Lonchura striata: one gene and its partners. The protein of the gene in region 4 interacts with the protein of the main gene of each other region in a biochemical or structural test. Links are inferred from orthologs where the notes say so. Each region holds a gene or a part of one and is shown on either strand. Other genes may lie near its edges. The genes, in order: RNF168, PRKN, TRIM63 and UBE2N.

Region 1 (7,225 bases), on a different chromosome or scaffold from region 4:
TTGGACTGAGCAAAACCAGTAGCTGCCATTAGGGATCAGTTGTGGCTGCAGATAAGATGCAAATGATGGTGAGGAAAAGGCACAGTGTTTGAGGCAGGCAGGTAGAGCAGCATCTTTCCAAGTGGAACATATCACTGTGAGAACAAGTGATTTGTATAATTTATCCGTTGTTCTGTTAGCATCTTGGGAGCATGAAATGTTCTTTGCCTTTTAAATTTTTCTATCCTCATCAAGAGGAAACTTTGCCCCTTGCATTCTGAGACCCATGCTGGGAGTTAAGCCCAGAACAGATATTTTTCAGTAATTTCTTTCCAGTAGTTGAGGTCTGACCACATTCCTGGTTTAGCCCAGTATGAAAACTGTCACTTCTCAAAGGTTTCTGTGGTTCCAGCGGTGTCAGGGTGAAGTCTGTGTGACAGGTTTGAGCAGTTTCAGCCTGTGTTCTTGAAACCAAAGTACATCTCACAACCCATTAGAGCAAGTACATGCTGATATTTAGTATAAACTATTTTTCTGTGTTAAAGCCATGATGATCGATCCTGTTTCAGAGGAGTAAACTCTCAGTCCCTCAGCTGGCTTAATTCTGGTCCCTAAAATGCAGATACACAAGCTTGTGGCTGGAAACTTTTTATCAGAATTGTAAACGTTTATGTACAAGGAGGTACAAGGGAGCTGATTATTTTTTGTGACTTTTTAGTATTAGGTTCATTGATTGTAGCTCAGCAAGTTGTTTTTTTAGGTGAAAGTCAGTATCCCAAAACAGGATTTAATTAGTGTGCTTTTGTACAGTGAAAAGACCATCATTCTGCATTCTGCATTCTGCATTCTGCATTTAAGATACATCATTTCCCAAAGGGGAGCTTAGCTGCAGAACTCTGAAGTCCTGTGCTGCACCATGTCTTTGGACAAGTTATGAGCGCTACAAAACATATTCTGGGCTTGTCAAACCCTCGGGGAAGTCATGTCTGATGAAAATTGAAATTGAGGTTGCTGGAGTTCTTTCAGGAGTTCCAATAAAGCAGAGAAAGTGCCATGAGGACAGAAAATACTTAGTTTGCAGAAAACTCTTCAGCAGTTGATGGATTCATCAGGTTGTTGCCGTGCTGTTTGTGATGAAAACAGGAGTATTTTCTGTAAGCATCACCCAGCTCCTCTGATTTAGAGCAAATCACAGTTGTGGAAGTAGTTTTAGTGCAGCAGCAACAGCAGTAACTGAAACAGGAAAGTGACAGGAAATATATTTCAGATGTTTTAGTGTGATTTGGATTCCGGAAATGCAGAGCCAGGCTTTTTTGTGAACTAAATTTAAAGGCTCTGGTACTTCTTATTGGTGATTACTACTAAAGGAATATTTTTATTAATAACAAATTGAAGCTTAGCTTTATGAAGCAAACAGTACACCAGTGCTGCATTAGAATGACTTGGGCTTTTCAATCTGTTGGCCTTGAGAATTCTCATTGTCAATTCAGATCCTACAAAAGTCTTGAGAGCATTATTTTTAATTGGCTCAGTATAAATATGTAGTGCTTGAACTGCTGTACAAGAGACGTGGGATTCTTCACTGGGGGCTTGGAGGTGGGGTGGCATTGGAAAAGGAAGTCTAAAAGCACAACCTGCCCCATCTCAGTAGGTTAAGCATGCCCTACTCCATAGCACAAACCAGATCTACTCACTGGATATAAAAATAAATACAAATATGCCTGTTTAAAGACCACAGCCTTAACTGCTGTTTTTGCCTTTTGCTGTCCCATTTTTAAGACACATTCATGGCAGTGACTATTACAGGCCAAGTAGCAGAGACAGAAATCCAGAATGATAATGATCTCTATTCACTGCTAGGGTTTCCGTGTCCCTCCTTCTCAATAATTGATGTGCAGTACATCATGATTGCTACTGCTGGAATAAATGCAAAAGCTTTTAGAGCAGTGTTAGCATCTCTTCCATGGTCTAAAGGTGTGAGTCATTGACTGCAGAGTGTGGTGGTGGGGCTTTGGAAAGCAGGCCAGAAAGATTTGCTACATTTATTAGGGCAAGTTTAACCACACGCCTTACAGTTCTTGGAGTCACACACAACCTTTGCTCTGCTAGGAGAAGTGTGGTTGCTTATTTTACCGTTAAAGATCCGATTTGAAGTAAAACACACAAATAATTTCTTTATCCTATTGGTATTTTTTCCAGGTGATGCTGTGGAACCTGCAGAAAGTTCGTCCCTTGTGGACCACAAACCTGCAGGAGTGTGACATGGAGGAGGAGAGCCTGCAGTCAGCCGGGCAGTTCTTCAACCCGCCGCTCGCGCATTCCCTGTCCGTCGCCTCTTGCGGCAACGTCTTCGGCTGTGGAGCTCAGGACGGTAAAGTCCGAATATTCCGAGTCACAGGTGCCAGGTTTGAACGGGAGCTGGAGTTCCAGGCTCACAGCTTGGGAGTCTCACAGGTGCTCTTTATGCCTGAGGCATACCAGTTGTTGTCTGGAGGAAACGATGGGAAAGTCTTGCTCTGGGATGTCAGCAGTAATATTGGGAAGCAGCAAAAAAGTCCAGCAAAATCTCTGCACAGGAGGAAGGCCCAAGCAGCTGCTTCCAGCAGGAAAGATGGGAAGCTCAACAAAGCAGCCTCAAATGAACACCCTGGAGTTGTGCCAAAGCTCAGCATTGAACACGGAGAGAAGGTGAACTGGCTCTTGTTTGCAGAGCTCAAGGGCTCCAGGAGAGTGTTGGTTGCTGACCAGACCAGCTCAGTATCAGCCTATCCATTGCCAGAACCTTAAGGCAGCCAGGGGCTTACAGAAGTCTGGGGGATAAAACCACTTCTCAGAGCCAGTTACTTCCACTGACAGTGAACTGGACAGTGAACCCCTCTGGGTCCTTGGGAAGGGAAAGGGATTTGCTGTGCACTCATGATGTCCCTGGCCTCGTGCTGGTTCCTTGTGGCTGTTATGTTCACAGCTACTCTCTCTTGCAGGGTTGGAATTTTGCTGCTTGGATTTAAGTGAAACGGGTCTCTATATTTAGGGGTAACATTAGTTCATGGCTAAGCTGACGTAATTAAGGCTGGAGGAGAAAATTAGTGCTCAGGAGACACCCACAATGCTAAGTGAGGCTGCTGAACAGTAGCAGGGCTGTCATTGGCTCAGCCCTATGTGGTTTGGGCTGTTGCAGTGCTCTGTGCGAGTTCTCCCATGAAGCTGTGTCCCAGTTGGCTTGAACTGGTCATGGTGGGATCTGGTTTTCATCACTCTGTCAGCAGCTGCATAGACTAGATGCATCAATTAATGAGTAATCAAATGAGTTTCCCTGTGGTTGCCAACTGAGTTTTTTCACTGCAGCAAAAGAAGGAGCAGGGGAACTGTTACACCTGTTTGCTGGGTCAGCTGTCAGTTAGTTGTGTATCCCAGGGAAAAGAACTATTACACTTGGCTTAATAAATGCTTTCTCTCTCACTGTTCCCTTGTCCTTAGAATCACTCTAATAGTGCCAGACTCACACAAAATTGTGTCAAAAAGTTTATTTACCCCGATAGCAGGGTGAATATGAAGGGCCAGAGGCACAGCTTCTCCTTACCCAAATAGTTCCTGTCTTCCTAAAGCTTTGAAACACAATGAGTAGAACTTGGCTTGCTAGAAGCTTCATTTGCAAATTGAAGGTAGGAAAACCTAAGTGGAAATGTTACATCTCCAGACATGTTCAGTTCATGCTCAATTTCCCATGAAGTGAGCAAATAACTCTTTTAAAAGGGTTTTTTTTCCTGGGCTGTCCTTATCCTGTCACAGAACTGAATTCCTAGTACTGGCTGAGGACATGCTGCACTGGTGGTAGGTTTGGGTTTGTGCTGCTGTGTTTACCAACTGGGCTGTTACCAGACTCATACTATATTGGAAAAATTTCCAGTTCTATTTTTTTACATACAAAACTCTGGAAAATCATTATCTGGTTGTGCTGCCTCTGTTCACCCTTTATGGAAGAGATTCCAACTGTCTTGGTTTTGCTCAAAGCAGCTCCCTGCAACCAAACACAACTCATTCTCATCCAAATCAGATTTTACCTTTGTACCTTTTTAATTAAAACAAAAAACAAAGGCAATCTGCTTGTACAGCCTTTCCCAGCAGGAGACTTTGGCCCAAGACATGATCTGGTGGGCGCATCAGCAAATCAAAGCCAAAACACAGCAATAAAAAAAAAAAAAGGCATAAAATTGTACTTGTTCCTTTTTGTGTTACCTGTGCATGAGTTCATGTGTGAAGACATGGGATCAGTGGGGCAGAGGAAGGGGTCGGGTCGGGCTGTGTGGTTCAGTGTGTGACACATCCATGAACGTGTGTTGGTGCATCCATGACCTATATTTGGATATACAGGCTATAAAAAGCCTTGGAACAAACAACCTCCTGCAGGACTCGGATCCCCTGTCCCTGCTGTTGCTGCCGGCTACAGGAGAGAGGAGCGAGCCCGCTCCAGCTTTTATTTCTTCTCTTGGTGTTCTCCAGGAAGATGGCGAAAGCCAGCATCTCCCTGCGCTCCCTGAACGAGACGCTGAACAGGTCCTGCAGGGCTGGGGAGGGACAGGGAGGGCACGGAGGGCTGGGGCATGGGACAGCTAACACGGGACACCAGGCTAACCTGTGCTTCTCTGGAAACTGCTGTGGGCAACTGGCTGTGAACGGACAGCGGGAGGAAAGAGGGACCGAGCCATCAGCTCCACGGTGGTGTTATTCCCTCCCTGCCATCCTGGCAGTTTGGTGCAGGATTTGGGCAGTTGCTCCATCATCCCTGGCCTGCAGCTGCATGAATTGTCACCAGGCAATGAGGGTACTTGGTCTGTTCAGCATGGAGGACACTGAGGGGAGACCTCGTTGAGGTTTACAACTTCTTCATGAGGGGGAAGGAGGGACAGACACTGATCTCTGTGGTGCCCAGTGACAGGACCTGAGGGAATGGCCTTAAGTTGCATAAGGGGAGGTTTTTGTTGGATATTAGAAAAACATTCTTCTCCCAGAGGGTGGTCAGGCACTGAAGAGGCTTCTCAGGGAATGTCACAGCACCAAAGCTCCCAGAGCTTAAGAAGCATTCAGACAATGCTCTCACAGGGTGGGATTGCTGGGGGGTACAGGAGTGCAGGGCCAGGAGTTGGATCCTTGTGAATCCAACTCAGGATATTCTGTGGTTCTGTGAAATTCAGGCTTGCTGTTCTAATTAGAGATTTCAGGTGAACTTCTGATTTTCAGATCATGCCTCAGAGTCTGGAGAGTGGTTATCATGAGCAAAAAAGAACCCCAAGAATGGACCTTTCTTAAAAGTTTTAGGAAAGCAAATCACCATCACTGGGGAATCAGGTCATAGGTGATGCTGATTCACCCTCCATTTCCAAAGCCTGCACTTGGCAGAGGAATGTGACCAACAGGTTCATAGACTTCCTGAAAAATAATCTGGCCTCAGCTGCCCCCGCTGGCACCAGTTCCTGCTCGGCTGTGCAGCAGCAGGCACCAGTGGTGGTGGCTCAGGGCAGATACAAAGATACGAGCATGGATCTTCAGGAAAAACAGTCAAAAAAGGGTCAGAAATTCTCAGCAGTTAGAGGTAGGAAGGATACTGTCCCCACACTCTGGATTTTCACGTTCCTGAAAGGGAGGTGAGGCCCTGGCACAGGCTGCCCAGAGAAGCTGTAGCTTCCCTGGATCCCTGGAAATGCCCAAGGCCAGGTTGGATGGGGTTTGGAGCAACCTGGGATAGTGGAAGGTGTCCCTGCCCATGGCAGGGGGTGGAATGAGTTGGGCTTTAAGGTCCTTCCACTCAACCATTCTGGGATTCTAGGATATTTTACATTTAAAGGCAAACTATGCAGTGTTGAGACTTTTAAAAGTCAAATCAGGTGTCATACATACACCTGTGGTTTACCTGCAGTGAAAAGGATCCCTGTTGAGAGTATCACAGCTGATGGGATGCAGTACTTCTGCTTAGGAAATGAGTGATTATGTGTTGACAGACAGACAGCTGACAGACTTGGAAAGAAACTGCTCTTGTCGAGGTACTGCTCCTAACTGTTAGTTCATCCACAGCCTTTATAACTCTGATTCACATGATGGTGAACACAAAAGTAGCTATTGGAGACCGGACCAGAAGGAGAAACAGTGAAACAACTCCTAAAAGAAAAAAGTGAAAATTAATTCTGTGGGAATCTACTTGAAGAAGTGTGTGTCTAATGTACCATGGAGTGAGTGAATGGGGAAGGCTTGGAGAAGTGTGGGATGCTGCACTGGCCTGGAAAATCAAACCCATGTGACAGCTCTAAAATATCATTTTCTGTAAATGCCTGAATAGCAGAAATAAGGTCTCACAAAGAACCACACTTCCAGAGAAGTGGGAATGCTGGAGCTTCTACTGTATGGCTTCCAAATATGTTCTGTGTGCTAACAAGAGAGGAATTTTAAAAGCTTTCTGGTAAAGAATGGGGATGTGGTTTGTCTGTACACTAGTCAGAGTTAGAGGTCGCTGACTTAGTGGTAACTTCACTTACACTAAAGGAAAAAGTGTTCAGAGGTCATGATGGAAATGAAAATGGGAGGTTTAATCCATTCTTCCTCTTTTCATTCCAAACTTAGATCAAGAGGCAGCAGCACTCAGTCTATCAGAATTCAGTTACAGCTGTGGGAGATCAGTTATGGATCTACCATGGTATAACTGAACAGACATTTTTAGATCCAAAATTGGCAAATGCTTAAATGTTTATTGCAGGTGCTTGAAAACACAGAAGATTAATTTACAGAAAGGCAGTAAAAAATGTTTGAGAGATAAAACTGGTCAAATAGTAAAGCATTGGACTGAAGCCTGCTGAGAAACCACTGCTGCACTGAGAGTAGCATTAGTGATGAGATCTTAGATAACTTTACTCCTACTTGTAGAGGAGGAAGTTGGAGAATGGGCCGTGTGGAAGCTTATTTACCTTGACAAAAAGCTGCAAACCAACAATTCACCGGCAAGAACACTCATTATCTGACAAACCAGCTCTGGAAGTCATTCACAGCAAAGCCCAACTCACCTCACCTCAGTTTCTGCACTTCCTCTCTCAGTGCTGACAGATTCGATCCAATTATGACACATCAATCCTTCGGGTTTTTCTGAACTCCCTACATTTCTACATGACACCAGCTTAGTTTCCAATTAAAAGTTCAATTTTCATCCCAAAATTCTTGCTGAAGCAAGAGGAGTCCTGCCACAGTAAGATGAGCTCCACCA
Region 2 (7,972 bases), on a different chromosome or scaffold from region 4:
GCTAGAACTTGGTATCATACTGGTTTTAAATTAATTAAGACTGCAATATTTCCAAGAGGGTACATTCTCACACAAACAGTTTATGCAGACACTCTCCTGCTTCCCTTTGCAGCTGTTACAGCTGATCCAACTTACTCTATATTTACAAGAAAAAACAATATCAGTGCAAAAGGAGAGATGAAAGCATGCAGTCAGGACAGGGAGAAGGGCAAAACAGATGAACCTCGTTAAAGGAGAAGCCTTGCTTGCCTCAATCCCACAGACAGCAGTTCAACACTGTGAGCTTTAAAAGGTTGGAGTTTTTTCAGCACGAACAGTTCCCTGAGCAGCCAACATTGTACAAATGAGGACACAACAACAGGCAGCAGTACTAAACAGCCTGAGAGAGGAAGAAGATAGGACTGCCTTCCAGAGCACTGACAGTTTAAATTGTCTTGCAGTGCTCACTGAAGTGTACTCCTAGATTGTACACAACTGCTATTGTTAAACTGGAGAAGTTCCTCCAAGACAGATGTGCTACTTCTCAATATACCTCTATCAAAATACTCCTTTAACTTGACATCTATTTGCCCCAAAACACACTGATTCTTCCAATAAATTAGCTGTTATAATCAAAAGATACAACTTTCTTGTATTCTTTCCTATAGCCTCAAAATCAAATTAGAAACTTTGACTGCTACAAAGTAAATAACAAAATCAGTCTTGATTATGCAGTGGATAGATGAATATAAATATAATGACAAATCACAAATTTCGGAACATAAACAAATCACATCATGGTTAAAATTAAACTTTTTCTAGGAGTTATTTTCTAATGGTAAAGCGTAAGAAAGCTCTTCACAACACATTACTGAAAATGGCTTGAGAGAAGTGCTTAAAGTACAAAGATTGAGAACTCATTCCCACACATAGAGACTGCAGATTCCTAAATGTAGAACAGAAGAATGAAAATCCAGAGCTGCAATACAAATAACCATTTTTCTGCTTAAGAGCAATTACACTTTTTTAGGCGATGAAAGCTGTGCCCTATACAGAGCTAAGACTCTAAGGCTGAATAGCTGCTTTGGTTTTAGAAATACAGAAACGAAAATTTTTAGCATCCCTTCCTTTCTAAGATCATCTAGTAAATATTCTCATTCTATCCCTGTGGCCTGTTCCTGAAGGCAATTTCTGACTGATGTCATGGAACACATGAATGTAATAGTAATCTTATAAGAGTTGGGAGATAGATAAGAATTATCATTCTACTGTTTCCTTTAAGTACTAAAATGAATCCTGTCCTTGAAAAAGTGCTTTTACCACCAGCGCATTACAGAAAAGTGGGACACTAACACTTCATTCTCTTCTCTACAGTTGCAGAAAACAGGAAAATGTCATCTAGAAAGGATCAGAAATGAATTGAGATATATTCCTGCTGCTCACATTCATGTTCAGACACTTCTATATCGGCTAGTCTCTACATTAATTTTTAATTGTGTTCCTAGTTCTATATGCAGTACCTCTGAAGTAAGAGCACATAACATTCTTGATTTCACCGGAGGACAAAACAATAAAAATGTAAATGTTTCTTGTTATTATAGAAGACCTTTATTGAACCTTGCTTTTAATCTAAACTGATATATAAATTTACAGTTTTGGAGTAACTTAAACACTTTATTCAGTTCAGGAACATTTTTAGGTGAATATTTAAGCATTGTATTTCACTAAGCAAGTTTTTGATTTAGCAAGAGCTGAGAAAAGTCTTAAATACTGTATCTACTTAATTTCTGCACTTACTACTAACTACAAAAGCAGACTTTATTCAGGAACATTCAAGAAAAACAGCTTAGTAAAACACTCTTTGCCCAAGCAATGTAAAAGAATTCCGGAACATTTAGTATAATATTTACAGTCATATATGCATAAAGGTAATCTACGCTAAGAGTTTAAGACTAACTACATGCTTGCACTAAAGGCTATTAATCAATACCTCATTATTTGACCTGGAGATGCCAAACACGTTTAACCCTATGCCTTATCATGCTGTTAACAAAAAGAATTACCATGTCGTAACTAGATATTCCTGCTGTGCTTTCAACCCTTCAGTTAACTCCCAAGCCTTCCATGAGAACTTCATCAAAGATGTCAACCTCTGACAAGTGAGTACTTAATAAATCTAAAGCTCCATTCAAAAAGTAGTTGGAAAAGTAAAAAGAAACTCCCACTTCAGCATAGAGAGCGTGGCTATGAGATATTCCTTTTTTTGCACACTGGAAGTTATTCTGGTGGCTGCCTGACCACAGATGGAGCTCTTGCAAAACATAGCCCTGGCACTATGAATCTCCCAAGACCACTAAGAATTTCAGAGCTTCCAACCCAGTTATGAGTAGAACATGTGCAGCAGGTCATAATACTGTAAACCCGAGCTCTGACAGGCTGGGAGGGCAAGCGAGGGGACAGATGAGCAGGGCAGAAATGAAACAGGCTGCTCAGAGAGGTCAGGCAATCCCTGATGTCACAGTTTAGCTAGGAAAACCCTCACTGACCTGATCTGGATACTGGTGACAGGCCCACTTCAAGTAGAAAGTTGGCTTAGATGATTTCCAGATGTCCATGCCAAAGAAAATAATTTCTGTTATTCTGTGAGTAGCTGCAAAGGCAGCAGATTTACTTGTAGGCAGTTCCTTAACAACAGTATCACATGATTTAATGGTCTGTTCATGTTTAGGAAGTCATAAAGGCAGCCATAAAAATTAATACTCTATAAATATTTAAAAGGAAACCTGAATTCTGATTAAACTCATAGTTAGTTATGTTCACAAGTCACAGCTCCTTTTTATAAATTAAATATGTGCTTCTCAAACTCAACTGAAACTGCTGATTCTTCTAGACAAAATAGTCTTTTACATATCTAGGTGTAAACAACCACATGCAAATATCCATTACTTGAATTTTCTCTGGAGAACAGGAAACATATTTTAAAAATTAATCCTAAAGGTTGCTGAAGTATTATAGTTCATTCCATGCATCTCTACAATAAAAATAAACAAACCAAACAATCTTTAAAACAAAGAGATTATTTGGCTGTATTCACCTTGTGTTTTTCCAAGTAAGGTGAAATATGTTGCAGTTTTACTAAATAGGAGAAAGTTTTTCAGGTATACAACTTTTACTCTATTTAAAATTTCTTTAAAGACATACTTGTTTGGCTTTTTAAGAGGATGTTCTTGCTAACTTCTTCTTGATAACATAACATCTTGATAACAAGATCAGAGAGACTGCTCCAGGAAGACCACTTCAGCAAAACAAAGGGAAATAATGTATTTCATAACAGCTGTCAGAACACTCTATAGATTTAAAAAAACCCTTGAGGACTCAAGCCTTTGCTAACACCTTGAACTGTGTCCAAATGAAGAATACAATTCAGGAGCTTAGGCAGAGATGTATGGTAATATTACCTCATCCACTCACATGTTGAATATTTGTACTCTGTACTAGTTAAAGCTTTTAACTCCTAAATTCTGATAAAGGTAGATAAATAAAACAGTATAAAGAGATTTGAAGGGCCTTTATACTACTATTTTAACTCCCAAGCCTCCAAGTTCATTAGAAATTGTGACTGCTACTTGTTGGATCAATTTCTCTGTCTTTGAACTACAAGTTGGAGAACTAATGTTTGTTTGTTTAGTATTCTCCTAGATGGTGTAGAAGTTATTTTCCAAGCTTATTTAAAAAAATCTATTAATCTATTTTCCAGATCTATGTGACATTCATATCAGTTTTATATACCATGCCAGTGTATGAAAACTTTTGAGAAATACTGCACTACTGGACAGCATTTTGCTAAGTGGGAGGCAGGAAGCTTCACGCACAATTCCATAGGCTGGCAGTTTAACAGGATGTGCACTGCCAATACAAAACCATAGAAAAAAAAAAAAAAAAGAAGTAACACCAAAATAAAGCACTTGGTGAAAGTATCGCAACTTGCAGCAATACTCCTGCAAAGTCCGAGGGTAATTTCAGCAACCAGCAAACTCCAGATAAAGTATTAGAAACTTGCACACCTTCCTGCCACGCTATATCCACAGCTCTAACTTGCTATGCTTCTTGGACAAGTTCAGTTAATTAGTATCACCACTATGCTTGCAGCAAACATACCACGCTGTTTTTCATCATGGCTCTAATACTGAAACCCTCGCAGGCCTGCTGCTTGTCCTGCTGCTTGTCCTTCTTCTCCTGCTGCTGGGGCCGCCTGTCACCGGCCAATTTTGAGGGGCCCGGGCGCCCCTCCTCCATTACAATCTCCCCACCGGCGCCCACGGCGGACCAGATGCAAGTTACGGACTGGAAAAAACAAGCGACCATCAGCGTCCCGTGTCCAGCGAGTTAGAGCAGGCATTAGGTCCAGCTTCTCTCCCTCCGCAACCAGCGGCAGCCTCACACACCCGTCCCGCGCCTTCCCTACTCCTCACAGACCCCTTTTGCCTGCCCCTCTTCCCCAGTCCCCTTCTGCATCATCCCCGCTCGTCCCCCGCACCCCGCCGTGTCCAGCCCTTCGCCACCTGATGTCCTTGTCCCCCGGGGGTCTCGCCCCCGCCCTCCCGCCCGCCGCGGTGTCCCCGCCGGCTCCGGCCCTGCCGAGCTCCGTCGGCACCTGCCACCACGCGACCGTTGCCAGGCAACGCGTCAACAACCCTGAGGGAAGCGGGAGGGGAATCACAAATAGCCCCGTCGGCACCGCCCGGTCCCGGACAGCTGTACCTACCCCCGGTGCACCGCACACCGGGGCGGCGGACAGCAATTAACGAGAAAGTCATTAGCGGTGTGTGGCGGAAACGTGAGGCGATAACGTGAGAAGAGCGTGTGCGGGTGTGAGCTGCCCAGGAACTACGCTACCCAGAGAGCCCAGCGCGTGCCTCCACCTCCGCCACCGAGGCGCATGCGCGTTCAGGGCCGGCCCAACACGCCCGCAGCGGCGCGACCCCCCCAGGGCGGCGAAAGGGGCAGCGCGGAGCGGTGGGTGCGGCCGGCACGTGCGCGCACGCCTCGCCCCTCTCCGCGCGCGGGGCCGCCGCCGCCGCCATGATCGGTGAGTGAGCGCGTCAGGGAGCGGGGCGCGCCCGGATGCGGTTCCGCCCTTTCCTCCCCGCCCCTTCCCTTCCGCCCTCCTCGCCGGCGCTGCCGCGGCCGCTGCTGTTGGCGCCGCTGCTCTTGTTGCCTCTGCTGTCGCTTCTGCGGCCCTGGGAGCGGCGGGGGCTGTCCCGGCCCCCTTCGCTTCCCCTCGGTCCCCGCGCGCCTCGCCCGGTGTCTCGGCAGGGCGGGGCAGCTCGCACTCGCGGCGGGGCGGGCTGGGGCCGCCCGCGCTCCTGGCCCGCTGCTTAAACCGCGGCGGGGCAAAGCCCTCCTCTGTTACCCCCGGGGGAGGGGGGGAAAGGTCTGGCCAGTTCTTGTGACTGAGCTCATTTTTAGAGCTCTTTTATTCCTTTTCGGTATATCGATTGTAAGTGCTTCTCGGCAAGGTTTGTGCGATCTGCGAACGTTTTTTGGCCTTGCCAGCATATATACTTGTTATTAATCCGGCGTGGTACCTGGTGGCGACCTGGAAAAGAAGAAACTTTCAACACCTCACGGTGTTGGGAGTGTGACCCTTTGGACCTTGAGTTGATTTCTGTACCCATCCAATGCTGGTGTGAAGCGTGACTTGGTTGTTTCAGCAGTGGGTTTTCTTCACTTCCTTGAAAGATTAATCCATACCTGGGAAAGTTCGAAATTGCAGGATCTGTTTTGTAGCGTTCCTATTTATTATGCATTTCATCTTTGATTTTCTCAGTTTTGAGAATTATTTAAAGTAAAACCTATAAAAGGTAGTGGATTGCACACACGCATTTTAGCAACTCCTTGCTGTTCTCAGGCTTGCTGTTTCGTCAGCATTGGTGTCATGGTTGCTGTCTACTTAAGATCTGATCAAATTGAAAACTCCGCATTTTGTTGTGAAAATGTTTATTGTTTTTAAATGGAACGTCTCAGAAGTTTCCAAGAATGCTTTGGGTCTTCTTAGCAGTGAAAATATGATTGCATGTGTATAGCTAATGTTCTTTCACCTTTGCTAAAACTAAAAAGAATGTTGTCCAGTATTTTCACTCTGTATACATATTAATGCAAATGATCCCTTCCTAATTGTGGAATTTTTCTTACTGGACTTTGTCATTTGAGCTACTTTTTTCTTATGTAGTAGAGAACATTTTAAATTGAAGGCTTGCCTTAAGGAAAGCACAGAGGGTCAGGTATCCCAGTGTTTTTATTTTGCAATGTTATCTGCTGATCTGATGTATCGCTGTAGTATATAAAATACATGTGTTTGCAGAACTGCAGTGTGTGTTTGTTTTTTCAATGCTTCAGAAAAGTAAGTTGAGTGTACCTAAGGGACTGCCCATGTGGTTACAGAGCTGATGCCTCTAGCTTCACACTGAAATCTAAATATTTACTTACTGCTCATGAATATAAATGTTCTGTGACTGAGGAATGATAATTTTATTTTCACTGTGGCAGATGGAAACGTTTGTGAATATTGATTATGAAATGTACAGACCAATTAGTTGCATATTTAAAAACACAGCTTTACATGAGTTGCAACCTGCCCTGGTTTAACCCCAGCTGGCAACTAAGAAGCACACAGCCACTGGCTCATCCCCTCCTCCCCTGCCTTGCAGGGTGTGGAGGAGAATTTCAGGTAAAATAAGAACAGTTTAATAATTGAATCAGAGTAATAAAAATACTGATAATGCTAATGATTATGATAATAGTAATGAAAAAGAGAGAGAAGAAGAAAACTGGAGGAAAAAGGGATGCAGAATAAAATTGTACGCTGGCCACTGACCAATGCCCAGCCCATCCTCAGACCAGCTCCCACCAATTTATCTCTTGGTGTGGAATGTCCCTGTGGCTAGTTTGAGTCAGCTGTCTCCTGGCCACACTCTCCCAGTTTCTTATGCACCTCCTCACTGACAGAGCATGGAAAACTGAAAAGTCCTTGATTCAGGCTAAGCACTATTTAGCAACAACTGAAACACCAGTGTGTTACCAACATTATTCTCAAACTAAATTCAAGATGCATCATGTTACCAGCTTCTAAGTCAAATTAACTCTATCCCAGCCTCCCCACACCCCAAAAACCATGTCACCCTCCCCCACTCACCCCCAAAAAAAGAATTATCTTCAAAGTATGTGATGTGGAGACCTGGTCCAGTATCCTGCTTTGAGACTTTCTGAAAACTCCTCTAAACATTTGGAAGCTGGGAATGCCATAGCAAAAATTGGGGGTAGGAATGCAAGGGTGAGAAAATAATCTGCCCATTTTTTTAACTTGAGTATTTAAAAGAATTTTCCTATAAAATACATAGTATATTTTTCAAAATGTTTCACAGTTTCATATCTCTAGAAATGTCTTACATCCTCATAATTTGATACCATAATATACACATGATAATTCCTTTAACTGATTTTTTATTTTCTATCTTTCTTTTTTCTCTTCATATCTCACAGACCAGGTCATGTAGACTTATGCACATTCAGGTTCCCTAAAGTGTAATTTGAATCCGGACTGAGCTAGTTAAGTGACATAGCTTGCATTACCTCTACTTAGGGGCTTGGTAGGTCTGGGGAGTTTTTTTGAGGTGGGGTTTTAAAGCTTGTTCTTTATTTTATTTATTTGCTTACCATTGGATCAGCTAAAACCTGTTGTTAGTGGAATGGAAGTGGCAATCTGCAGTTGGATTGGCTGATCTATTTCTTAGTCAACAGCCCTGGCAATAATGTCACATTCTTGAACACCTGTTCTGGGGGGAAAAATAAAAAAATAAAACTGATTTTGAAGGAAGATGCTGGGACAGCTTTGTGAAATTTTTTCAGAAAATCTCTCTCAAAGAGCAAAAATGCCAGGAGAAGGCCCTAAACTGTTTTAAAAATGTAGAAGGTCGACTCTATATAGTTAACA
Region 3 (7,579 bases), on a different chromosome or scaffold from region 4:
GTGTGGAGGCGGCTGCGGGAGCAAACGTTTCTGTTATCATCCAGTTGTTTGACTCAAGGAGAGGAAGCTTCAGTCGCTCCCCGTTTATCTTTTTGAGGTGACTGATTTTTCGCCAAGCCTCCCCAGCACGAGGAATCTACATCTATGGAAGGTTAAAAAGGATAACTGATTGCAGGAGTTTGCACCCAACGTCTAGCTTTCACTTTTGCTCAACAGAGCAAGGACAAAAGTTAAGTTATTGCTCTGAAAGTAAAACAAGAGAGACACACACACACACAAAAAAAAAGAAGGGGAAAAAAAAAAAAAAAGCCACCAAACCCTGCTGCAGATTTATGACCCTCCCTACACGCTGCCCTACAAGATTACAAACCAAACACCAGCACCACCTTCATGCAACCAAACCAAAATGGGACACTGACTAGAGACAGCAATAAATTAAAATAAAAAAATAAGAGCTTGACTAGCCAAGGATCACTGGTCAAACAGAATGAAACGCAAAACCAAAAGTAAATAAATAAATAAAATCACACTGATAGAGCAGAACTACAATAGCTCTAAGACAGCCAGTGATAAAGGTAATTCTCTTTATGTCAGGCAATAAGGACCACATGTTATTAGTAGGAAGATTTCAAGTATTTCCACTGCTTTAGGTAATTTTTTTTTTTAGAAAAAAAAGGAAAAAAAAGAAAAAGAGAGAGAAAAAAGGTATCATCAGTCTCAGGTAATGCTACAGAGATATTTTAACCTTTCAGCAAAGCTGTGCGAGGGACATTTGCAGCAAGGATTTGAACCAAGCTGTGCCGTGTGTGAGAACAGGGGTGCAGCTCCACATTAGGGCTGGGACTGAGATGCAATGGGCCAACAAGGGCAGGAGCTTTAATTTAATCTCAATTTCCCAGTGGCCAAACAGCCCCGGGGGAACGCGGCTGCCCCGGGGGCGGCCGGGCGGACACCGGGCCCAGGCAGCGAATAACGAATAATATAAACACTCGATTAGAGAATAACACAAACATAAAGGTACCGCAGGTGATATATATACACCCCTCCTGCTCGGCGCGGCCGCACCTGCGGCCCTGAAGGGAAAGCGCCGCCTCAGAGCGGGCGATGCTGCCGGCCCGCCGCTGTGGGCATGGCCCCACTCCCCCCGCCCGACCTGCAGCCGGATCCCACCCGCTACAAGCACCACCACAAAGGGAAAGGGGAGGCGGTGGGGCCGAGCCGAGCCGAGGCGAGCAGGGCCGAACCGGGCCGGGAGAAGCCGCGTTACCTCAGCGCCGCCGCCGCCGCCGCCCGGCCGCCATCTTAGGGCTGCGCTCCGCCCGCCGCCCTCAGCGCGGCCACGCCCCCGCGCGGCCACGCCCACACAGCACCGCGCCCGCTCATTGGCCACGCCTCGCCGTGACCACGCCCATGTAATACCACGCCCGCTCATTGGCCACGCCCCGCCATGACCACGCCCATGCAATACCACGCCCGCTCATTGGTCGCGCCCCACAGTGACCACGCCCACATAATATCACGCCCATTCCTCGGCCACGCCCACTCCCCGGCCATGACGCGAGCGCCGTGGGCGCTTAATGAGATTAATTAATTAATTAATCAATCAATGAATGACTTAAATTTCTGTTCGTTAATTAGGAATGAATTCCTGGCTGTGAAGGCGGACAGGCCCTGGCACAGCGTGCCCAGAGCAGCCTGGGACAGTGGGAGGTGTCCCCGCGGTGGCAATGAGATAAAGTAAAAATTTAACAAGAAAGAAATCTGGATTTAAGTAAAATGTGTTTTTTAGTCTAGTAACTACAGCACTAGCAAAACTACCTTAACTAAAAAAAAAAAAAATACAGATTTCCACACTAAAAAGATAAGAGACAAGAAAAACTCCTCAAACCTTAAAACAAACAAAACAGAGTGACCCAAGAATTCTTTCTGACAAAAACTAAATACAAGTGTAACTAACTGTAAGTATAACGCAAAATAAATAAAATAAATATACATAAACCTATTATAAGATTCTATGCATATAGAAGTTAGAGTAATAAAAAAAGATCAGGAGTTCTCAGGGGTGCACATGTCCATTAAAGAACAATGAGTCCCCACATGCATCCACAACACTGTGAATAAACACACCGTTCCCCACAAATCTTTATTATAATTGTGGGGTTTTAATCTTTCTCCGCGTTTCAGCATTGGATGGGACTTAAGCTCCTTCCAAAACAAACAATTCTGGGACTCTACAATTTATTGCTTGGCGTCCAGAAAAAAATGAGTAAAGCGCCCCTGTGGCCCTTGGGCGTGCCCTGGCTTGGTGTGACAGTGGCACAAGAGCTGTCGCCCCTCGCTGTTCCCTGTTCTGTGCCGTGGGTCCCTTTCCCCCTCAGGCTGCAGGGCTGGAAGTGCCCCCCATGCCCCGGGGCTGGGGGCGCAGGGCTCCCCCACCGTGGCAAAGCCACCACAGGGACATTTTGGGAGAAGCCAGGGCCACCGACTGCTCAGAGCCCTGCGAAGCCCCGGCAGAGGGAGATTCCTCCCTCAGTGGGCTCTCCGGGGTTAATTGGGAAGGATCCCGGGGGTGATTAGTGCCCGGCTCCTGCCTAAGCTGTCCCAAGCCAATTAGGGGCCAACGAGCCTCTTGTGGGTTCGGAAAGCTGCTTAGGGCATTACAGCCCCTCCGCTCCTGGGAGTCCCCTTCAGCGAGTCCAGCAGCGATTCATGAACCAATGCCATCAGGATAGGGTGCGACCCCCGCGCTGCCCTCCCGGGTGCCCACCAGCCCCGCCGTGCTGCCGGCGCCTCGCTGGCACAGCCCCGAGCGCCGCCCCGGGAACGATCCTGCCCCGTGTGCCCCGCGGCTCCCGGCGCGGCCACCCGCTCCACGCGTGAGCCGGGGCGGAGGGAGCCCAAAACACCCGCGTGGGGAGAGGAGGGGGTCCGTGCCCCCGGCACCGTGTGCTGTGCACCGCGTGTGACACATCCAGGGAGCTGGGCACCCATTTATTCATGTACCTGGTCATCCATTTATACATGTACCTGGGCATCCATTTATCCATGTGCCTCTTCATCCATTTATCCATGTACCTGTGCATCCATTTATCCATGTACCTGTGCATCCATTTATTAATATACCTGTGCATCCATTTATCCATGTACCTGTGCATCCACTTATCCATGTACCTGGTCACCCATTTGTACATGTACCTGGTCATCCATTTATCCATGTACCTGGGTACCCATTTATCCATGTACCTGTGCATCCATTTATCCATGTACCTGGGTACCCATTTATCGATGTACCTGTGCACCCATTTATCCATGTACCTGTGCATCCATTTATCCATGTACCTGGTCACCCATTTATCCATGTACCTGTGCATCCATTTATACATGTACCTGGTCACCCATTTATCCATGTACCTGTGCATCCATTTATACATGTACCTGGTCATCCATTTATACATGTACCTGGTCATCCATTTATACATGTACCTGTGCATCCATTTATCCATGTACCTGGGCATCCATTTATTAATATACCTGTGCATCCATTTATCCATGTACCTGTGCATCCACTTATCCATGTACCTGTGCATCCATTTATCCATGTACCTGTGCATCCACTTATCCATGTACCTGTGCATCCCTGCTCACCTGTGTGCTCACAGACACCTGCACCCCATACCTGCGCACCCAGGTGTCCCCCCACACCCCGTACCCGTGCACCCAGGTGCCCCCTGCACCCCATACCTGTGCAGGTACCCCCTGTACCCCGTACCTGTGCACCCAGGTGCCCCCCCACCCCGGTACCATCTCCTGCCCGCAGTCGCTGTGGGCACCGCCGCTGCCACCCCGTCCCCCCGTGGTGACCCCTGTGCCAGCCGCGCTGGCAGCTCTCCCCGCGGCCAGCGCTGGCCCCTGGCCAGCCCGGCGGGGATCGTGGCCGGGGCTGCTTCCAGCCAGGGCTGTGCTCACCCTCTGCCCCCCCAGCCGTTTCTGGGTCAGCGCTTGAACCCCAGCAGCGGAGCCAGCTGGGTCATGGCTGTGCCAGGGCCGTGCCAGGGCCGTGCCAGGGCAGCCTGAGCAGCCCCCTCTGGGTCTGGGCTCCCGGAGGAGCCCCCCAGCCCGTGCCTGGGGAGGGCACACCCCGCTGCGTGTGCCAGCCATGGGGGCTGCGTCCCTCCAGCGCACGGGGGGAGGCGTTTGCCCCCCAGATTTGCTCCTGTTTTGGGTGGGGAAAGGGACAAACTGTACGAGCCAGCCCTGCTGCGGATTTCTGGAACCGTCGCAATGTCCTCATGACCGCGGGGCTGGCGCTTGCTGCTCCGGGGTCTCGGGACGCGCAGCCGCTTGTTTACCCCGCGGCTCCCGCTCGGGCACGTCCGCGGCACGGGTGGGCAGCGCCTCCTGGACAGCCTGTGCCCATCTTGTTTACCGGCCCTTGCGGTGGCTCAGCACCGTGTGACAGCTGCTGTCCCCTGTCCCGGGACACCCGACACCGAGCCGCGACCGGCAAACGCGTGACGAGGCGGCGGCTTATAAATAGCGGGGCGAGGGGCGCCGGCGGCGAGAGCGCCGGGAGCAGAGCCCTGAGGAGCCCATGGATTTCCAAGGCGGTATCCTGCAGGATGGCAGCCCCATGGAGAGCCTGGAGAAGCAGCTCATCTGCCCCATCTGCCTGGAGATGTTCAGCAAGCCCGTGGTCATCCTGCCCTGCCAGCACAACCTGTGCCGCAAGTGCGCCAACGACGTCTTCCAGGTGAGCGGGGCCCCCGCGCCCGGCCCGGGGGGCACCGGGGTGTTGTGGGGGTACTGATGGACCCCCCGGGCTCATCTTCCCCTCCCAGGCTGCCAACCCGTACTGGCAGAGCCGCGGCAGTCTGATTTCGGGGGGCCGGTTCCGGTGCCCCTCGTGCCGCCACGAGGTGCTGCTGGACCGCCACGGCGTCTACGGGCTGCAGAGGAACCTGCTGGTGGAGAACATCATCGACATCTACAAGCAGGAGTGCTCCAGGTGGGCAGCGCGGCCATGGGCTTACGGGGACGTGGGGACACGGGGATGCCCCAGCCGTGCCCCGGCAGCAGCGCTGAGACCCCCAGAGATCGCACCTGGGGGTCTTCCTGCTCAGCCATCCCCGGTTCAGAGCTTTTCCTGACTCAAATCGCCATCAAAACCTCCCTCCCGTGACTCAAAACTTCCTCCTGCACCCAAAACTTCCTCCCCCAGCCCCATTCTCCCCTCTGCCCCAGCAGTTTGTGCCTCTGGCTGTCCCAGGGGGGTGGCAGGTCCCTGGGGGTGGTGCCAGCCGGGCACGTCCTCTGCCCCTCTTGCTGGAACATTGGCTGGCAGATAAGAGGTGTGGGGAAGGAATCCGGGCTCTGCTGCTGACAGCGGGCACCGGGGCTGATAAGGGGCAGAGGGACGGTTTGGGGGGGGCCCAGTGGGTACAAGGATGAAGCTGGGGGGGACAGAGGGGTCACGGGCTCTCGAGGCAGAGCGGTGGCCCCAGCCAGGTTCCCTGAACCGCTGTAAATATTGTGTGAGAGCCATGGGGACGGGGACGATGGCACGTGGCAGGTGTCCGTGGCTGCTGGGGGGGCCGGGGGGCCAGGCCTGTCCCTGTTTCAGGCTGCTGGCTTGTCCCCACGTCCCTCCCTGCTGTGGATGGGAGGACTGAGCTGCAGCCCCCGTCTGGGACCCCCGGCGGTTTCTGGGTGTCCCCACCCCGGTCACACGATGGGTGACAATAAATCCGGGCAGCACAGGGCTAAAATTAGGCCCTGGTGCAGCTCCTCTGGCTCGCAGCCCCCCCCGTCCCCGGTGCCACCCGCTGCCATGCCCAGCGCCACGGTGGCCTAAACTGGGACCTGCTGGGGTTTGCAGAGGTTGGTGGCTCCCAGAGGAGCAGCTGTGGGGTTGTGCCAGGGTCTGGCGTCTCTCCGATTTCGGGGTGACAGGTGGATGTGTCACCACGGTGGGGGTGATGCTGCAGTGGGGACACCGGGGTGGCGGGGGCCATCAGCCTGGTGCGGGTGTCACCGCGACGGCGATGTCACCGCGGCCGTGCCACCCTCTCCAGCAGGCCGCTGAAGAAGGGGGAGCACCCCATGTGCAAGGAGCACGAGGACGAGCGGATCAACATCTACTGCGTCACCTGCGAGGTCCCCACCTGCTCCATGTGCAAAGTCTTCGGTGCCCACAAGGACTGCGAGGTGGCCCCTCTGCAAAGCGTCTTCCAGGGACAGAAGGTGCCCTGGGGGGGGACCCGGGGGGGCTGCGGGCCATCTGCTGAGCTGGGACAGTGACAAATAACTCCGGGACTGCCTCACGGGGTATTAATAGCCCCCGGGTGACTTCGCCCAGGAGACAGACTATATTTAGAGTGGCTGCTGAGGGATGAGGGGGAGCAGGGCTGGGGACGAGCAATGGCCAGCCCGTCCCCAGGCTGGGATGGGAGAAGTTCCTGCCTCCACAGGAGTTAGAACTCCTTCTCTCTGTCGCTCACCAGACTGAGCTGAACAACTGCATCTCCATGCTGGTGGCGGGGAACGACCGGATCCAGACCATCATCTCCCAGCTGGAGGACTCCTGCCAGAGCACCGAGGTGAGGAAAGGGGGAGAGGCGTCGCTGTCGAGGCAGGACGGGAATGAGAAGACTGATCAGAAGGCTGCTGAGAGTAAAACTCGGATTTATTCAAAATACCCCGCTCTTTTATACAGAGCTTCGCAAGGATCAAATCCATTGGTTCTGAAGTGAAAACAAGCCACGCTATTGGTGTACAGTGCTTGACGCACAGTGATAGAACTTATCTATAAACAATGTGAAAAACAAGAGAGATAAAGAATTATTTACATTCTTTCCCAGCTCTTTCCCAGGCTTCTGCCTGGCTAGAAACTCTCAGTGTCTTTCTTTGACTGAATCTGAGACCCACAGAAAGGAGCCCCCCAAAACCTGACAGTGAAACCTCAGCCGGGCATGGGCGGCAGTGGGGTGGAGCCCGTGGAGCAGGGAAGCCCTGGGGTGTTGCAGGCGCTGGGGGGACGCAGAGGTGGCATCCCTTGTCCCCTGTCCCCGCAGGAGAACAGCGAGGCGGCCAAGCGGGAGCTCTGCGCTCGCTTCGACGCGCTGGCAGCGCTGCTGCAGGAGAAGAAGGCGGAGCTGCTGCAGCGCATCTCCCAGGAGCAGGCGGACAAGACCGCCTTCATCCAGAGCCTCATCTGCCAGTACAAGGAGCAGCTGGAGAAGTCCAGCCGGCTGGTGGAGACCGCCATCCAGGCAGCCGAGGAGACCGGGGGGGCCGCCTTCCTCATGGTGAGACCCCCAAACCTGCCCCGTGGCGTCCCACTGCTGGGGACGACCTGGTGGTTGCTGCTGCTTCACTCACCTCCTCCTCCTCCTCCTTCTTCTCCTCCCCCTTCTCTCCCTCCACAGAACGCCAAGCAGCTGATAAAAACGTAAGTGCTCAAACTGGGGGAATCTCCACGCTCCAGCCCCCACGGGCAGGATTTGGGGAGTGGGCGCTGCCCTGCCCCGCTGCCCCACGGTCCCCGCGGGGGGACAGGGACACGCACACACCGCTGCTCTCC
Region 4 (7,095 bases):
ACACATTTTATCTTACATTAATAGTTTTTTTGTCATGACAATTCTCATAGGATCCCTGGTGTTGAACTACTGAAGAAAACAAAAATACCTCTTCTCTATTCAAAAGATACAATGTTTTCCAATTCTGATTACGTCTTTTAAGATTCAAAACTACATCAATGTCTTCTACTCACCATTTGTGATATGCTAACAGTCATAATTCTAAAGCAAGTCACCTTTTGAACTTACAGACCATTCCCACACACACTTTATTAAAATCCGTTTCTAAGTAATCTGAGGACAGTAAATTGGGAATAATTCTGTATCTTCTGCAACAACTGCTTTAAAACACCCATACTGTCACCTTTTCATTGAATTTGAAGTATTGGAAACATAAACAGAGTCCTTGCCACTGCAAGGAAAACTCCTGCTCTCCTCCTGGGCTGGATGACAGCCTGCACATAGCAAAGACGCAGGCTGAGGAGTACAGGGCTGCAAGTCAACCTGAGAGCCCGGCCATCTGCCAGCAGTCGCTCAAGACAGGGAATGCCAACTGCATTTTGAGCAGCCAGCCAGGCTCAGGACTTTATCACAGTCCAAATACAATCTCCTAGCCCCAAGAAGCCATTGATGGTCTCTCCTGGATGACAACACAAAGGGTGCATGTGGCAAAAAGGGAGAAGATCTTTTCCTAAAAGTAACCTAAGCCATGTATTTATCGTGAAATTTATTACTGTGCATAGCATGAAGATTTCATTTTATTTACTGGAGTTATTTTAACATTACTCAGCTCTTTCCTATCCTGATCTTTCAAATTCTCATTAGCAACTGAGTTCACTCCCTACCCACCCTCTAAGGCATCCAGAATAGGAAATTAAACACTAAAGTCAAAATTGGCATGATAGAAAAGATCAAAACAATTCTCACTCAAGACTCCCAAAGATTTAAGCAGGAGTATTTCTGGGTCCACACCTCTGCAGCTGTGGTATTTCAAGATATGACTTTGCACATTTTTGAGGCTCTAGTAACTAGTCAGACTCAAGTCCTAGATCATACTCACATGTGGCAACCTAAGGCACGCACAGCACAGCAGCTGAAGAGCTGATCATCTAACACAACCAAGCCAAGATTTAATAACTCTAGACTGGCTGCAGACAACTTTCCAATGCACACATGCAAACACCCAACCCATCATATGTCTAAGGGGGCTCCTTCACAGAAAATCTGGAGTTTCTAAGACTCTCTTTTGCTCTCCACCTTTCTTCTCCAGGAGGAAAACAAACAGTCCCACATCACCACATATCTTTGAAGTGAGTTGTGTAAATTGCGCTAGCGTTTTTTTCTAGAAAAGCATGAAGAAAACAAAAGTACCAGGAACAAAATTTATGCACCAACATAAGTGAGTGCACTTCTTGGTTGTATTCTGGGGATCTGTCAAAAGCAATGAAAATTTAATGCAGACACCAGCCTCATGACTGAGCTCTTACTGCAACTCTGTGATAAATACCAGTTCCACTGTATTATGAATCACTGTTCCCTATCACACCTGAAATACTTCAGATTAGCATGGTGTGCACTCAGACAGCTGGATAGGCATCAAAATCAGTAAGATTTGTCTTCTTTATTTTTACTACTTACTTACAATTCTGAGCACTAATTGTAGTTTAGCTCCATTTCACAGAAGACAAACACTACTGCCTTATTTTACCTCATCATCTCTATCACCTACTTGATAACTTGACTTCTTGGACAAAAATAATGTATTTTTTTGTCCACTATTTAAAACTTTATAAATTAATTTATTTACAGTGTTTACCAACTGAGAGAGCTTCAGAGTATTAAAAACTAACATCCATTCACTGTAACAGGCTATGAGGATGCTGTCATTTCCTGTGAGGGCTAACCAACCTTAATGGAATCACTTAATAACTTTTATAAAGAGAATGATCATCCATTCAGGGGCTTCAATTCACACCATTACAAATCGAGTAGGAGACAGCAGCACAGCAGGAGCAACCACGTGAGCTACAGGACCGAGCTGTTTGATAGCTTGCAATACAGCTACCAATAAGTGTCTCCAAATTACTCAAATCTTATGCTGGAACCGAATTCGGAGGATCTGCTGAAAATACCCCAAAGTTAAGAGCCCTTGCAAAGCTTGGCAAATCACAGTCGAAACATGATACCGAAGCACCAGCACGACACGTTGATAGAGTAAGGGCCGACAGCTCCGAGCAAACGTAGCAGTAACCGGGCTGTCCCAGCGTGGACCACTGGTGCCAATGTCCCGACGCACACACAGCTGTGGCCAGGTTTAACTGCTCGCTGTGGCTCGTCCCTCACCGCACACTAGGAAGCCGAGCACGGCGCCACCGCCGCCCTCCCCCGGGCCAAGCACGCCTAGAGCTGTGCCGGGAAGCCGGGGCCTGGCGGAAGCCCCCAGTGAGGAGCCGCTGGGTCGGCGGAAGACAGCGGGGGATGTGCCCGGTGTCCTTCGAGCTCCGGACCCCGAAGGCTGTGCAGACAGCAGCGCTCGGCAGCAGCGGGGGCCGTGGGGCGCCGCCGCCGCCCGAGCAATCCCCGCGAAGGGCGCGGGCCCGCGCCCGCCGGGAGGGCCCGGCCGCTCCCGCCGCCCGCGCGCGCCGACACGGCGCGAGGGGAGTCCCGCGGCGGCGGCGGGAAGCGGCGGGGGCGCGGGCGGGACGGCAGCGAGGAGCCCCTCGCCCGGCAGGGGCGGGAGGAGGCCGGGGAGGCGGCCCTGCCCTAGCGCGGCCCAGCTCCCGGGCACCGGAAGCGGCGCCCGGCGCGGCGCTGCGCTCGGCCGCGGACCCCGGCCCGGCGCGGTCGGCGCGCCCGGCCGGCATGGCGGAGCGGCGCGCGGCGGGCAGGGCGCGCGGCCGTACCTTGATGATCCTGCGGGGCAGCCCGGCCATCTTGTCTCGTCGGTGCAGGCTCGGGGCGCGCCTCCGCTCGGGGCGCGCGCACGGCCGGAAAGACCCGCGCCGCGCTTCCTGCGGCACCGCCCTGCGCGCGTGGCGCCGGGAAACGTAGGATACAGGGATGGGCGTGTGGGGTCCGCGCCCGGCATGGGCGCTGAGGAGCTGCCGTCAGCGGGGCCGTGCGCTGTCAGCGCCAAGCGTCTGTTCGTCCCTGACTTTTAGCTTCTGTGAGTGTTCCTAAACCTGTCTCAAAGCTACCTTAGAACATCAGTGCCTAAAACACAAGGAACTACTGGCAGAGTCTAGCAAAGGGCCACAAAGGTGATGAGAGGTTTGGCACATCTCTCTTAACGAGGAGAGTCTGAGGGAGCTGGGCCTGTTTAGTCTAGAGAAGAAAAGACTGAGAAGGAATCTCATCAATACATAAAAATATTTCAGCGGTGGGTATCAAGAGAATAGTGCCAGACTTTTCAGTGGTGCCCAGCAGCAGGACAAAGAGCAATGGCCATAAACTAAAACACAAGAAGTTCTATCTCAACATGAGGAAGAACTTTATGTTGAGGGTGACAAAGCACTGGAAGATGCTGTCCGGAGGGGTTGTGGAATCTCCCTCTCTGGAGATACTCAAAACCCACCTGGACATGTTGCTGTATCACTTGCTCCTGGTGACCCTGCCTGGGCAGGGAAGGTGGAAATAGGATCTTCCCTAACAGTTCTGTGATCTTTGTCTTAATAACACCTAGTTAGCAAACCTTTGTTCTTTTTCAGCAGAAAGAGGAATATTGTAAACATTGCAGTATAATTATTGCACGAGCATACTAGGACATTACTACGGATGTATAGTAATAGTAACATCTAAGAATGTATGTCATTATTTATGGGAAGTAAAAGCACAGAAAGATGAACTAATTTCCCATAGGTTGCTCAGCAGGTCAGCAGCACAGCAAAGAATAGAACCCTATGTACATATGAGTCCCTATCAAGTGTTTTCTTCCGGTTTAAAACAGGACATAATTTCTGTGTACTCTGGTAGAAAGTAAAGTTCTCTGGCAATTGCAAATCTAGGCGAAAGACTCCATGACTCCAACACTTATTTAGATTTCAAAGCATCTTCATTGGTCCATACCCTCAAGACAAAAGTTATTGGAAAATGATGTATTTTGTTACAGTGCATACTGAATTACTTCTCTTTCTTTGTTTCTGCCTTCACCCCTTTTTTTTTTTTTCTCTTTTACACTTCTCCCAGAATATTCCATTAAAGGACTGGCATACATGGAAGAAAGCATGGGCCAAAAGTTTCTTGAAAGTCTGTAAGACACAACAACTGAGTGGAACACAGTTGGCTCAAATAAATGCTCATTGGTGTTGAATTCAGTGTCTCCTTTCAAGTGTTGTAGACCAGGAATCTTGCTTCAGCTGGAAGTTACAGCTGAAGCAAGAAGTTAAGTCAGCTGAAGTTGCAGTTAAGTCAATCTGGCTTATTATGTTTTGACAGCTTTTGTTGCACAAGTGGTTTGTCACATCCTGGAAGTTTTCATTATACATCTCCTTCTGGCTTCTTTTATGAAAGGGCTTTTGAAGTCCACTTGATCAGGAGATGGCAGTGAACAAATACATTGATTTCTGTTGTCATATCTACAAAAATTTAGATTGTTCCCCTAAGCTATTTTAGCTCCTAGAAGGACTGCTGCAGAGATCCGAGTATCCATATTGGGCTAGAAAAGCCACCCAAACTGGCTACTCCAGAATACCAACTGTAGACTGGGGACCTGTAGTCCCCATTCAAATGGGCATTCATTCCTACAGCCCAACTCCACCAAGGCCTGCCTCCACAGTGCGGGTTATTGACTGTATAGTTTCATGTCAAGGGCACACCACTTTTTAGTTGCTTTGCTGCTGCCCTCCTCCTCTGCCACACACTGCTGTTCCCTGAGCTCACACCATGATCTCTCACCTAAGACAAGCTGATCAAAAGCACAAGTGGTTCCTGGGTGAGCAGTGAGCTGCTGTGAACCACAGGCAGCCACACAGCTCTACAGGTGAAGCATAAACAAGATTGGAACCCATGCCTGAGGGTGTGAGAAAAGGACTTTCAATAGTCCCCTGCACTAGGGATAGTGTGGAAGCACATACTTGAGGTTAAGGTAGACCAAGCAGCTGAGTCAACCTCTTAAAAACAGGACTTCTTTCTTCCCTTTCCTACCTCACTCCTTCTACCTTCCTTCCTTACACATAGCATTTTCCCCACTGTTCATTCTGTTGAGCTGATGCAATACTAACTTGGCAGAAAAACAGCCATTCAGTGTAGTCTTTTGCTGGACTGGTGAATTGGTTTGTCTTACACTGGGGTTTGGCAAGCCCCAGACAACAAAAGGTAATAGAAGTGGGAGTGAAGTTGTATGCTGTAGTATCCATGAGTAATTAATTTAGCTTTAGATGCCCCTCAGCTTTTAGGAGAAGCTGCAGGAAGCACTGAGGTCCAGCTCCCTTTCCCTGCTCTACATTCCTGATCCAGTCTTGTCATTGCTATGTATCTACTGGAGTATAGGGGGTTGTTGTTGGGTTTTTGGGTTTTTTTTTTTGCTAAGTTACCCTTCTGACCAGCTCACTGAGGCATCAGAGCTGGCACAAGAGAAGCAGCTGGAAACCGAGTGAGAAGGTGCAGGTGTAGGACCATCCCCTCCCGCAGCAGTGACCTGTTCTGTTGGCTGAGCTGATCTTATCCCACTGCACCACTACAAAAGCCAGGATGGACAACACAATCCTCCTCCCACAAATCTGTGATTATCACATCATTGCCGGAATTACAGTGGTTCCAAGAACAAAGTTAGGCAACCACCTTATTCACCAACAAAGTGTTCTATAATGCTACTATAGGCAGGGAAGGTAAAGAAGTAATTGCAATTAGGCAATTAATTAATACACCCAGAACAATTCAATACAGCTGCTGACCATCTTCCTGTCACAGCTTCTGCTGTCATCAAATTACCAGACTTACTCACTGAGTGGGTGCATCCAGGCCAGCTGAGCCTGTGGCTGACTAATCTTATTTCCTCCTCCTAGCCCTCTTTGCAATCTTATAGAAGTTTTACTGTAATTACAACTCTCTTTCAAATGCCAGATTCTTTATTTTTGCATAAAAGCATTTCTATATTTTTGCCAAATATTGTAGAAAATCTGTTCTACAGCAAAAATCAGATGTATGTATGTACACATACGGAATGAATATTCACAGTAATATCAAAATTTTATATTAAAAATGTTCAGTAAATCCCAGAGTAATTCCACAAGAGTTGCTATGATGCCTATGTACAAAGGAGGAAACTAAGCCACAGAAGTGCAGTGTTTTTCATTCAGCAGTAATTTAAAGTGTCATTGGACAATTTCAGAATTATCTAAACTGGTAGGACTGGGTGAAACTGTACTGAGAGAAGAAAAAAACACCACTAGTTATATGTTTTACCAACTTAGAACATCAAAATGGGATCCTGTGGGAACCCCAGCCTTGTTTTGGGGCCACATGTGGTGGTGAAATTCCTCCTCCAACCCGTGCTTCCAAAGAAAAACTCCGCAGGCTTAGCTGTTCGGTCTCAAGGCAGTTTATTGCTAGTTATCTAACAGATTATGTTCTTGGACTGCAGCTATTTGATCAGTGGCCTGGGTAGAGGCACACACACACCCTGACATCCTCTCTATCTGCTGTCTTCTTCGTCTCTCCCTCCGCCCAGGGTTGCTGCTATCTTTTATAAGATATATTACGTATAACATGTTTACAATTATTCCCCAATACCTACTACCTACGTTGCCAAGTGTTTTTCTACTCTAAACCAATCTGTGAGTGCCAACATCACCAAGAACATGGAGGTAAGGAAGAAGAAGGAAGAAGGATGGGATCAGCCCACTTTCCTCCATCTTAGAACTTCTGACCCCCATGTACAAAGTGAAAACCCCCCTGTACATGTGCTAAAACCCCCCTGTACAATACTAAAAAAATTTCCCCTCTACTTCGTAACTACTTATACTATACTATCTAACCTTTTGTGATTGCTTGTTCCACCTCCAAAGTTGGTAATTCATTCCATGGCTCAAACTCAAAATCACAGTTGTTTTTCAGCTGTCTGCCAGGGTCTAGAATGCTTCTGACCAAGGCCTGGAACCTCTAAAAATGTCTGAGAGA

What was found.
Region 1: the proteins of UBE2N (region 4) and RNF168 form a complex in vitro, tested with the Homo sapiens proteins (2 studies listed by BioGRID). The link is inferred for Lonchura striata from reciprocal best matches to the Homo sapiens genes UBE2N and RNF168.
Region 2: the proteins of UBE2N (region 4) and PRKN form a complex in vitro, tested with the Homo sapiens proteins (6 studies listed by BioGRID). The link is inferred for Lonchura striata from reciprocal best matches to the Homo sapiens genes UBE2N and PRKN.
Region 3: the proteins of UBE2N (region 4) and TRIM63 form a complex in vitro, tested with the Homo sapiens proteins (2 studies listed by BioGRID). The link is inferred for Lonchura striata from reciprocal best matches to the Homo sapiens genes UBE2N and TRIM63.

What each region holds. Positions count from the first base shown.
Region 1 is NC_134612.1:5,260,417-5,267,641, reverse strand, and holds the start of RNF168 (E3 ubiquitin-protein ligase RNF168), read left to right. Parts: upstream 1-4,218; 5' UTR 4,219-4,533; intron 4,534-7,225. Other genes in the region: WDR53 (WD repeat-containing protein 53), read left to right, coding at 2,179-2,766. UniProt on the Homo sapiens protein: E3 ubiquitin-protein ligase required for accumulation of repair proteins to sites of DNA damage. Acts with UBE2N/UBC13 to amplify the RNF8-dependent histone ubiquitination.
Region 2 is NC_134605.1:36,999,488-37,007,459, reverse strand, and holds the start of PRKN (E3 ubiquitin-protein ligase parkin), read left to right. Parts: upstream 1-4,963; 5' UTR 4,964-5,061; coding exon 5,062-5,068; intron 5,069-7,972. Other genes in the region: PACRG (parkin coregulated gene protein), read right to left, coding at 4,138-4,344. UniProt on the Homo sapiens protein: Functions within a multiprotein E3 ubiquitin ligase complex, catalyzing the covalent attachment of ubiquitin moieties onto substrate proteins. Substrates include SYT11 and VDAC1.
Region 3 is NC_134628.1:396,863-404,441, forward strand, and holds the start of TRIM63 (E3 ubiquitin-protein ligase TRIM63), read left to right. Parts: upstream 1-4,572; 5' UTR 4,573-4,591; coding exon 4,592-4,750; intron 4,751-4,838; coding exon 4,839-5,005; intron 5,006-6,071; coding exon 6,072-6,240; intron 6,241-6,500; coding exon 6,501-6,596; intron 6,597-7,070; coding exon 7,071-7,304; intron 7,305-7,424; coding exon 7,425-7,447; intron 7,448-7,579. UniProt on the Homo sapiens protein: E3 ubiquitin ligase. Mediates the ubiquitination and subsequent proteasomal degradation of CKM, GMEB1 and HIBADH.
Region 4 is NC_134607.1:53,630,285-53,637,379, forward strand, and holds the start of UBE2N (ubiquitin-conjugating enzyme E2 N), read right to left. Parts: upstream 3,010-7,095; 5' UTR 2,913-3,009; coding exon 2,883-2,912; intron 1-2,882. UniProt on the Homo sapiens protein: The UBE2V1-UBE2N and UBE2V2-UBE2N heterodimers catalyze the synthesis of non-canonical 'Lys-63'-linked polyubiquitin chains. This type of polyubiquitination does not lead to protein degradation by the proteasome.